Linked DNA regions of Canis lupus familiaris. The protein of the gene in region 3 binds, or shares a complex with, the protein of the main gene of each other region. Links are inferred from orthologs where the notes say so. Each region holds a gene or a part of one and is shown on either strand. Other genes may lie near its edges.

Evidence for each region.
Region 1: TAF3 (region 3) and TAF10 share a complex: the UniProt entries of both Homo sapiens proteins name them as parts of the TFIID basal transcription factor complex. The link is inferred for Canis lupus familiaris from reciprocal best matches to the Homo sapiens genes TAF3 and TAF10.
Region 2: TAF3 (region 3) and TAF8 share a complex: the UniProt entries of both Homo sapiens proteins name them as parts of the TFIID basal transcription factor complex. The link is inferred for Canis lupus familiaris from reciprocal best matches to the Homo sapiens genes TAF3 and TAF8.

What each region holds. Positions count from the first base shown.
Region 1 is NC_049242.1:30,425,283-30,428,779, forward strand, and holds TAF10 (transcription initiation factor TFIID subunit 10), read right to left. Parts: upstream 1,984-3,497; 5' UTR 1,961-1,983; coding exon 1,729-1,960; intron 1,591-1,728; coding exon 1,436-1,590; intron 1,202-1,435; coding exon 1,137-1,201; intron 1,048-1,136; coding exon 933-1,047; intron 751-932; coding exon 661-750; 3' UTR 556-660; downstream 1-555. Other genes in the region: ILK (integrin-linked protein kinase), read left to right, coding at 1-13, 200-349. UniProt on the Homo sapiens protein: The TFIID basal transcription factor complex plays a major role in the initiation of RNA polymerase II (Pol II)-dependent transcription.
Region 2 is NC_049233.1:10,876,666-10,880,897, reverse strand, and holds the start of TAF8 (transcription initiation factor TFIID subunit 8), read right to left. Parts: upstream 2,863-4,232; 5' UTR 2,846-2,862; coding exon 2,801-2,845; intron 2,494-2,800; exon of another isoform or gene 2,270-2,493; intron 2,018-2,269; coding exon 1,861-2,017; intron 1-1,860. UniProt on the Homo sapiens protein: The TFIID basal transcription factor complex plays a major role in the initiation of RNA polymerase II (Pol II)-dependent transcription.
Region 3 is NC_049223.1:27,335,840-27,339,487, forward strand, and holds part of TAF3 (transcription initiation factor TFIID subunit 3), read right to left. Parts: coding exon 3,445-3,648; intron 1-3,444. UniProt on the Homo sapiens protein: The TFIID basal transcription factor complex plays a major role in the initiation of RNA polymerase II (Pol II)-dependent transcription.

The DNA.
Region 1 (3,497 bases), on a different chromosome or scaffold from region 3:
GATTGGAATGAAGGTGAGAGAACAACTGTATGCACTTATGTTGAAGGAATGGTAGTGGTGGTGACAACAACTATAGCAGGGCTGGGCTCTTCCCATATTTGTTCAAATATACAGTAATCCTTTCCTGAGGACTAGAGGCCTCTCCTCACAGGATATTAGAAGTTCTGAGACCCATTTTGTTTTTTTCCTGTATCTGCAGGTGGCACTGGAAGGCCTTCGGCCTACTATCCCACCAGGCATTTCCCCCCATGTGTGTAAGCTCATGAAGATCTGCATGAATGAAGACCCTGCTAAGCGGCCCAAGTTTGACATGATTGTGCCTATCCTGGAGAAGATGCAGGACAAGTAGAGCTGGAAAGCCCTTGCCTAAACTCCAGAGGTGTCAGGACACGGTTAGGGGAGTGTGTCTCCCCAAAGCAGCAGGCCTCTGGTTGCCTCCCCTGCCTCCAGTCATGGTACTACCCCAGCCATGGGGCCCATCCCCTGCCCCCATCCCTACCACTGCAGCCCCCAAAGGGGCTAGGCTCAGAGCTTTGTCACTTGCCACACGGTATCTCCCAGCATGGGAGGGACCAGCCCTGCCTGTCACAATAAAGTTTATTATGAAAACAGGCTGGTGTGGGGACAGGGGGACAGACAAGTACATTTAGGTTGGGTGGCTCAGGTGAAGTAGTGCGGCTTCTTCACATTGATGCCATATTCGCTGAGGGCAGGGGTCAAGTCCTCCATGGTTAGAGTGTACTTGCGGTCCTGAGGGAAGAGGGAAGAGCACCAGCTGAGCAGGGGAATTCCGGATTTCAATCCCAGGTGGGTGACCCTGAGTAGGTCTTTCACCTCCCCTAGGGCTTAGTTTCCCCAAAGGGGTTTCAGGACAAATTAAGCCTCCGATGCTGTGGGAGATAATTACTGATTCAATGAGCCTCCCCTCACACCTTGCTCTTGCTTCGGGAGCTGCCAGAAGCTGTGCCCTTCATTTTGCAGTGCTGTAGGGCATCGTTGGCAATATCTGAGATGAATTTCTGGGCAGCTAGGGAGATGAGCCGAATTCTAGAGAGAAAAAACTGGGGTGAGAAGGAGAGGAGACCAGAAACTCCACACAAGCACCCAAGGCTGTAACCTACCCAAGCTGTACTCACATGCGTGGGTCCGAGGCCTCAAAGCCAGCACGGTTCAGGTAGTAACCAGTCACTGCATCTGGGATCTGAGAGATCAACGAGAGGACTGTCAGTGTGTGCCCTGTGCACTGCTGGGCTGAGAGGATGAGGGAAATGGAGGACAGGCCCGGCTTTCAGGAAGCCCACGGTTTGGGTGGGCAGAGGGGATAAATCAAAGAGCTAGTAGGGGAGCAAGTACGAAAGAAAGCTGGAAATCCAGGTGGTGTAGCGGAAGCTTGGCCTGACAGCGCCCCAATAGCCTGTTCAGGCAGGAAGCCCACCGTAGGCGTATAGTCCTCCAGCTGCATCAGGAAGTCCACCAGAGGCGTGCTGGACACCACCGGCTTCACGTCTCCGTTGGCGGCGCTCGGCAGCACGTAAACCCCGTTAGACATGGCCCCCTCCGGGGGCGCCGCGCCGCCCGCCGACACGGGAGCTGGAGGAGAAGCAGCAAATAGACATGGAGGTGGAAGATGCGCAGCCCCGCTTAGGTCGGCCTCAAACCCCCCGCCCTCACCCGCCGCCGGGCCCAGCCCCCGGCGCTGCCCTCGCCCTCACCCGGCCCGGCCCTCACCCGCCCCGCGCCGCTCGGCCGGCTCCCCGGCCCGCGCCGCCACGGGTCCCGTGCCCCCTGCCGCAGCTCCAGCCCCGGGTCCCCCCGCTGTCCCCGCGGGGCTGGCCTTGTTCTCCGCAGCGGTGCCGGCGGGCAGCGCTGCGGGGGCCGAGACCGTGGGCGCCGGGCCCGGGGCCGAGGCGGCGGAACCCGGCGCCGCCTCGGGGTCCGCGCCGGAGCCGCTGCAGCTCATCGGGCCGGTGGGAGAGGCGGCGAACAGAGCCGCTTCCGCTTCCGCTCACGTTACGCACACGCCGGGTGACGTCACACGCCCCGCGCTTCGCCCCGCCCACGCCATGTTTGTCGTCTGTGTCGGGTCTCCCGCCTCCTGGATGTCGGCTAGCCAGTGAGATGCCGCCGCCGCCGCCGGGCTGCCTCCCCCCGCCCTCCCCCCACGCCCCCCGCCCTCCCCCCGCCCCCACCCCCCCCCACCCCCCCCACCCCCCGGGCGAAGTCCTAGGCCCTGCCGCGGGGCTGGGAACCGTCGACGTCTAGGACGCTCTTCTGCGGGTCCGGGGCCCCTCCTGCCCCTCCTGCAACCTGGCACTTAAAGACCTTGCTTAGGGACCCCCCCCCCTCGGCCACGGGTTGCCTGCCAGTCTGTATCCTTTCCAGTTCCCTTACTCAGCCTTTTAAGGGTTGTAAGTCTCCCCCCCCCCCCGCCCCCCGCGACTGCCCTGGGAATGGAGGACAGTAGGAATGTGCAGTGTTGCCATAGTTGGGGAAGGAGGTATTTCAGCCTGAATAAACAACATACGCAGCATCACAGCGAGTGTGTGGGGGGGGGGTGTTCAACGCAACACACATTTATTTAATTCCTATTTGCCCATCCTGAGCGAGGGCCTGGGAGTACAAAGTTAAGCAGGACGAGACTCTCGTCCTCTCGGCGCTGACAGTCGGGGAGGCAAACAGGTTAGCTGGCATTTTCAGTCCTACATTGGAGTTACAATACTAGAGGTAGACACAGTATGCAGTGCAAAGGAGGAAGGGGACTAACATCTGCCGCCTACTTCTTTGTGTCAGGCACTCATCAACTTTATTCCACTTAATTATTCCCTGATTACTGTGCGACGCAGGTATTGATATGCCCCCTTAACAGAGGAGGGAAAAGACTCGGGGAGATGTACCTGTCCAAGGCTCTGTCCTAGTCTACGTCAGAACCAAGTATCAAATAGGTCTGTTTTTAAAAACCCAGAATTTTTCTGCTACACAAAAATGAGCTACCTTCAGGGAGTCAAAAGGTTCACAGGAGGATATGACTTCTGAGTTTTTAAAGAGAACTGGAAATGAACCAGGTAAAGGGAGTCGAGGGACATGTTAAGGGCATAGACTACCTTGAGGAAAAGTGAAAGTGTGTGCAGAGCCGGGAGGGGGAACAAGAGAAGATAAACAATTTGGTACTCAGGAACAAATGGCAAGGGAAGAATCAGGTTTGTGAGTCATAGCAAAAAGCCAGAATTGCATCAGTAACCTTTGAAGGGTCTTAAGTAAATGACCTGATGGGATTTGCATTTTACTCTGAAAAAACGATTTTGCGGATGGGCAGGAAGTAAGGACACCTTTGGCAAGGGCCTCCTACAATTCAGAGGAGAGAAGATACAGTCCTAAGCTAATGTAGTAGCAGTAGAGATGGAAAGAAGTAAATGAGGGCTAGATACATTTAGGAAATACAATTGGCAGGACTTATGGATTGATAAAGATGTATTTAAAAGGGGAAGTCGGTAGGACTT
Region 2 (4,232 bases), on a different chromosome or scaffold from region 3:
CCTGAGCCAAAAGTTGATGCTCAACCTCTGAACCACTTAGGTGCCTTGGAGTGGCAGACTTTTATGCCATTTTCAAGCCTTTTAGTTTCAATATTCACAGCTTTCCAACACAACTATCTCAGCTCCATCCCGCTTGGTGGCAACTATTTCTTCTGAGAGAAAAAAGGCCTTTTGTCCAGTGGTATCAGAAATAATTGCCTTAATCATGAGGATCTTTAAACTCTGAATTCCAAGAATTTTTCAAAAACTGAATTCTGTTGGGAACTATTAGTCCGTTCTTTGAGGACAAAAGTTCTCAAAGTGGGGCCTGGGAGTCCTCAGGCAGCCCTGAGATCCTTTCCAGAGTCCACAGACCAAAACTATGTTTATAATTAAGTGAAGACATTCTTTGACTTTTTAACTCATTGTCTCATGTAGTTTTCCAGAGGTTACATGGGCTATGATGATATCATGGCTCTGAGGGATAATAGAATGTGGACTCATATATGTTTATATTTAATTTTTTTCAATTTTCTTTTTCTTTTTTTTAAAGATTTTATTTATTTATTCATGAGAGACACACACACAGAGAGAGAGGCAGAGACATAGGCAGAGGGAGAAGCAAGCTCCATGCAGGGAGCCCAATGTGGGACTCGATCCTAGGTCCCCAGGATCAGGCCCTGGGCTGAAGGCGGCACTAAACTGCTGAGCCACACGGGCTGTCCTCAATTTTCTTTTCTTTCTTTCTTTTTTTTTTTTTTTCAATTTTATTTTCTAATGTGGCAAAAATCGCTCTATATAAAGCCCATGTAGACAAAACTCCTCAGGATCCTCAATATTTAAGAGTCTAAAAAAAAAAAAAAAAAGAGTCTAAATAGGTTCTAAGATCAAAACATTTGAGATCATTGCTTTAGGAAAACATTTGGTATTTAAAAGTTCCAAACAAAAAATAATAATAATAAAAAATAAAAAAATAAAAGTTCCAAACACCAGCTGCAGAGAGCCACCTCACCTCAGACCACGTCCTTCCTGGGGCAGCCCACATCGAGTGTCCGATCAAGAACTGAGTACAAATGCAAGGCCCTTTCAGCCTGATGTGGTGTACTCTGAAGTACAGGTGCTCCAGAGGTCCCCACTGAGTCAGTCAATTCTTTATTTGGCCTGCATTGCAGTTAATCTCCCCCCTGCCTAAAGCTTTCTCTCACTTTGATTTGTGTTGATCCCTCAAAAGACAAGTTAAGTAAGCCCATCTCTCATCCCATTCTACTTTCCACCACCCTGCCATGCTGCCACTGCCACCACCACTAATAAAACCCAAGCAGGGAAATACACTGTATATGCAGAAAAGCCTGTGTGAGACCATTCTAGGCTTCTCCAACTCAATGTGTTTCCTCTTAAGCATTTTTTTTTCCGTTCTATAAAACTTATTTACTCTCCCTCTTTGTATCACATACTATAGCATTTGATTATCCAATATATAGCATCTATTCATGGGACTTGATCATGACTCTGCAACAAAACTATAACTTCCTGGAATATAGAGAACAAGCAGCAACAACAGCACTTATAAACCATCAAGAGGTTACCAGGTTCCTAATATCAAGTGTCTTACACATGCACCTCACTTATCCTCACAACTCCAGGAGATACAAATTATTGTCCTACTTCACAAATAAGGAAATTGAGGTTCAGGAGGTTTAGCAACTTGTTCAAGCTATTAAGTGGCAGAGCGATGACTTACACCCACGTCCATCTGATTCTAAAGCCTGAAAGTCACTTTACTATGCTGTTCTTTTTCCTATCTTTAACACTATCAGAGTGCAAGACACAGCACAGATGTTTGGTTGACTCGAAAAGGAGCTATTGTTTCCTGGTACTTACAGCTCTGCAGCATCTCTGTCAATGTTTCCACGGATGCTTTTTCAGCACTCTCGAACCCTGCCTCTGTCAACAAGGAGCTCACGACCACTTGAAGGGTTCGCCTCCGGGCCAGATGGTAGTTATCAGCAGGGTTAGTGGATTGTTTACTTCCTGATCTCTGCGAATCAGCACCCCATTAAAAAAAATTAATTCACCCACAGGACAAGAATGCAATCCAACAGTTCACATATCGTCAATGGCAAGCAAAAGTTCTTTCGCTAAATATGTATTTATCAGTGCTTAATAAAATACGGTAGCCCCTGGTGTTAAGATTTATAAATCCTGGCCAACTGAGTAATCATCGAGTACCCAAGGGGTTCTAAATCCTAAGGAGCTACCTAAAACTTAAGATTCTAATAAGTTTTCTTACTTTTTTAGCAGATTATCAAAATATATAGCTGAAAAAACATGCATGATAGGATTGAATTCACATCCATTTCCCAGAAAAAATTAAAAAAAAAAAGGCCTTTCTCTTGTTCCTCGCATCTCCACACTCTGTCACTACAAAGAAAAATTAAAACAGCACCACACGATGCTGGGCATAGGAAGGCAAAGGGCAACCGCTCAGAAAAGTAGGAAAGCTAAATTATTCTGAAACGGGAATCCCTCCTAACTCAGGCTGGCCAATAAGAAGGCGAAGCCGGTCTCCCCGAGCCAATCAGGAGGTGTTCCGGGTTCCCAACCCCCAACAGCGGAGGAGCCAATCAGTACACCGGTCCGCCAACTCAGGAGGCCGCAGCCAAGTCCCGAGGAGGGGGGCATTTACGGCCTGAAAGACGCTCCTCCACCCGGAGCTCATGGTGGGGCTGGATTCCTGGCTGCGAGCTTGTTGCCCACACTAGGGGGAAGTTGCAGAATGCCCAGGCTCTCTCGGCTTCCGCCCCGCGCCTCCCGCCCTTACCGTTCCGGAGCCACCGGCCCCGGCAGTGGCCGCCGTGTCGGCCATCTTGCTCTGGCGTACTGTGCGCGAGCGCAGGGCAGGATGGGACTTGTAGTCGCCGAGCGGGGAGGGGCGGGGAGGGGGCGGGGCGGCGCGCACCCCTCGGAGCTCTCCTAAGCCCAGGCGGGTTGCGGGGGGCGGGGGGGGGGCGGCGGTGTTTGAGGATCCCGGCTCACGTGACCTACAGTGAGTGGTAGGTTCTTGGGGCCCCGGTGTGCCTCGGAATCGGCTAGGAAGATGCGCCCTCGGGTTTCGCACCTGTTTCTAGAGGAGATCGTTTCTCCCGCAGAGCACATCCCTGGGGCGCTCCAAACTTGCCTGTTGTTAGCAACACCTTTGGCTGCGTCCCGCTCGGTCCCAGGGACTCCCTCTCTGGGGACGGGGCCTGGGACTCTGTGTTGTGAAGCTCTGCAGGTGATTATCCTGAGCGAGTAATTTTGGGAAACCTTACTCTGCGCGCACCGGCCCCGCAGCCCGCCAACGTCCACCTGCCCCTCGAGCCTAGACCCGCTAGCCCAGGTCTTCCGCTGCATCCCGCTGCCTTCTCGCCCTCGATCCGCAGCGATGTGCGCGGGCGGCAAGAAGCTGTCCGGGGCCCGCCTCAGTCCCGAGGCGTTGCGACCCCGCGGTGCCTGTGGTTTTCTGCGTCTCACTCGCTCATCAGCCGCCCTGGACGGGGGTTCTCCTTGCCGGGACCGGGGACCCCCACTGCCCCTCCTTCAGTTCCGTTTGCGGGTGCCTGGGAGGGCGCGCACGCCGGGTTTGAATCCTAACATCGCAGGCTGTGAGGCTTCGGGCACGTTACCTAACCGCACTGTGCCTCAGTTTCCTTTGTGTGTGTGTGGAACAGGGGTGGGATTGCTAGAGAAGAAAATAAGCTAATACCCGCAGAGGATCTCGGGCACGTGCCAGAAGCAGAGCCGGAGGTCAAGACCCAGCACCTGAAGTTGTTTATTTCCTGCGCGACGCGCGATCGCCTGGCGAGCGCCCCGCGGGCCAGACTCTGGGAACCCGCGCGGCCCGGGCCCCGCAGGCGCACCTGAGCCCGGGGCGTGCCCCGCCCCCTCGCCCGGGCACGTGGGCCGGGGTCTGCGGGGCCAACCGCGGGCGGCCGGGGGAGGAGTCGGGGCCCACACTAGCGGCGCCGAGCACCCAGCCCCTTTGTCTCCCCCGCCCCCTCTTCCCCACTTCCTGCCCAGCTTTAAACTCGGGATCCGCGGCGCGGCGCGGACTTTGTAAACACGCGGCGCCTGCGGGGGTGGAGACTGTTTGTGTTGGGGCGCCCGGAGGAGGAGCGCACGCCCCTCGGCTCGGCTCGAGGCGGTGGCGACGCCCCCCTCCCCAGAGGCAAGTCCGAGGCGGCGGGACGATGAGGCCACAGTCGGTGCTCCGG
Region 3 (3,648 bases):
CTCCACCCTCAGCAGTGTTCCCAGTGCTACAAGCAGACAAGTCATTCTGGTGCTCTTCTGACACGAACCAAGCTGAAGGATCAATAAGTGGGTAGTCTCATGATCATACTTTGTTAATGATATTTTATGACCAAAGCCTGGCCCTGTCTGTGGCTCTTAAGGAAATAAAAGGAAAAGAAATCTGTGAACAAGTATTACTATCACAGGTATATCACCCTCTGCAACACTAACCAGAATACTAGGAATTTTCTAACATGGGACCAGGGGGGAAAAAAGATTTCAGATTGTAAATGATTTATTAAATTGACTTGGGAGGCTATATTAAAAAATGGTAACCATGGGACTGTATTTATTTTATATCCTTTTCCCTGAACAGGAGGAAGAGGTTTGATAAACATCTTATTGTACTGCCTATCACTTATTGCACCCTTCGGAACCATATGCGTACCTCATGAATCAGCAGAATTTCTGCTCCTGAGAGAATCTATAACTGTTAGCTGAAAAAAAGAAGTGTTCAGGTTTATGTTATTTTCCTTTTAAGAGGTTTATAATTTATATTGTCTGAAACTTCAAAAAAAAAAAAAACCATGATTCTTTTTGCCTCAAATGATTCAGGAGACTCAAAAATTTATTGTAGTTAATTTCAAACTGAAGTCAGTATTAAAATCCCTAAACTGTTTTTTATACCCCTTTACTGATATCTTAGTTACATTTCCATGGCGGTATTTACAAATGCTAACCATGAATTTCCTTGTGTATCATTTTCATGCTATAAAAATAAAATGAGAGGGACTAAGTGGTTAAGTGTTGATTATTATCAAAGTCCTGAGCTTAATTTTCAATAGTGAGTTTGGTAGGGCTTACTATGTTATTACAAATGATTCAATAAACTCTCTAAGTGAATAAATGCAGGTTATAGATGGACCAATGATGAGCTATATATGAATTACGGGTTAAGATTAATCAAATGTCAGAGTCCAAATTTTTTAAAAGGCCAGAAAAAAAATTAAGCAATTCATTAAGCAGAAGGTAGAAAAGGAGACAAAAAAACAGGTAAACCACAAAATAGAATTAGAAAGCTCAAAAAGCACAGAGTACATGGACTAAAATGTTTTAAATGGAGAAGATAGTAGTTCTGGTTCAAAAACACACCAACCGATAATGCACAGAAGTCCTGGCTAGTAACCGTTACCTAATTCACTAATATAAAACTCACCATCACTTATTATCCAGAGAATCGCTGACACGCCAGTTACTTACATTAGTGTGGCTCCTTTAGTGTCGTCCTATATAACATCTTAAGTTCTCTCCCAAAATTTTAAAGATTTTATTTATTTATTTATTTATTTATTTATTTATTTATTTATTTATTTATTTCAGAGAGAGAGAGAGAGAGAGAGAGAGGGAGAGAGAGAATGCATGCACAAGCATAAGTGGGGGTGGAGCAGGGTGCCCAATGTGGGGCTCGATCCCAGTACCCTGGGATCACGACCTCAGCCGAATGCAGACACTTAACCAACTGAGCCACCCGGGAACCCCCTTCATGTTTTCTTAGCACAATTTCAAATTCTGTACTCCTTGTACTTTTAAGTGGCCTTTCAACTAAAAATTTCAGAGCCACTCAAAGATTACTCTTAGAGCACACTTAGTACTGCTTTCATGAGGACATCTAGGATGCTTAATAAATCATATTGAGTGACAACAGCAAAGAAGGAAATTCCAGGCCTGCTTGATATTCATGACCTGTCTATAAGAAAAGATGAATTCTTTGCAATCCAGCTACTAAGCAGGCTTCTGCCCAAGAAACCCTCCTTTGAGAATTCTGATACTGAAATGCATTGGTTATGTTTTTAAAGCAAACAAATATATGTTTAGAGAAGTTGTGAGAAATATACATTTCTAAGGTCAAAGACACTGACATTAGGGAATGAGGGGTTTACAGAGACAGACCTCACACAGGGGCTATAAGGAGGAAGATTTCCTCAAAGGTACCACAGGCTACAGATACACAATCTCAATGGTGAGGAAGAGACGAATTTTAAGTAGTTGCTACAGGAAGTTGGGATAACTGAGATACATCTGTAGATTTCTAAGTCCTGCTGTTAATAATATAAAAGTGGGCCCGGAAAGGAGGAGAAACAATGAACTTCCATTAACAAGCCCCTACAAACAGCATTTCACTCAGTTCCAGAACGTTTACCCAAGGCACATTTTGTGTGAAGCACTGGTGATACCAGTTCTTGTCAGTTTTGTCATTATTAAGTCCCCAAGCAGAGAAGTTTGTCATTATTAAGTTCTCAGCAGAGAAGTGCTAACCTGACAAGCTTCCCAAGCCACTCAACTCAGAAAACTCTGGTACCTACCTATCTGAACCTCCATACCTACACAGCTACCAACAAGCACAGGTACAGTGCTGCATTCTCAGCATGTTAATGACAGCACCAGCCCTCTGTGGGAGGGCCCACTGCACCCAAGACACAGAGTGTCTGAGGATACACTAACCCATAGTAAGTCTCCACGACGTAGGGCCAGTTTTTACCCGGTTTTTCAAATGAGGCAACACTGATACGCAGATTGTAAAACTACTATTCCAAATCTAAAGCGAGTCAATGAAAGAAATGGGTAGCATCCCAAGATGCTATTGAAGTGGAACAGGAGATTACAAGAAATGAATTACAAGAAACTGGAAACGTGGGGCATTGCTGGTGGAAGGTAGAAAGGTGCAAATATAAAGGTACAAGGAAATGAATTGGAACTTTTCCATTTTTACAAGAAAATATACTGTGTACCTGCATGAGAGACCACAAATTACTATGTATCTCTTAGAACCTTAGTGAACCTAAAGGATCAACACGTAAAATCATGCAGGGAGAAGGAACTCTGTAATGTTTGACTACTGAGCCTGATTTGCTATTATTTTTTAATCAAAAATGCTGCCATGGCCAAACAATAAACATTTCTACTCATCATTTAAAAAATGGAGATAAATCTGCAAAACACTAGTAAATATTACTCACTCACTGTTCCTGGTATCATCCAACTCACATTTACAACACAGAGGAGAGGCAGAGAGTGACCCCGATTTTCCTTTATGTTGCAAAGATTTTCTAATTTATTTAATGTCCCGTTCCCACATGATACATCTATGGGAAGTCTTCTCTCTGGGATCACATTCTGTTCTCCCCTACTTAAACTTTAGAAAGGAAATAGATGCCCCATCAGACAACCCTGACTGTGCCATGGCTCTGACTGGTGACGCCAGTGTAAGTTTGCTGGCTTAAAGGTTAGACTGATTTGAAAATAATATTAGAATATCTTGATTGCATTTCTAGAATTTATACGTTGGCACAGCGTTTTATACAATTCAGTTAGGAAAATTAAGATTAAGAACGCATTAAAATACTTACAGACGTATGAGTAAAAACAAACAAAGAAGTCACAAACCTTCTTGTGAAGACACAATGGGTGGCATGTAATCAGGAATGTATTCTTTTCTTTCCTCTGCATCTTTACTTCCAGGTTGAGGAAATTGAAGGACATTGTTCTTACTAACAGGAAATGAAGGAATTTGATGTGGGAAAGTCACAGGTTCAATATTGTGAATATAGTCTTCTAATTCATGAAGACTAACCCCCATAAGCTGGAAAG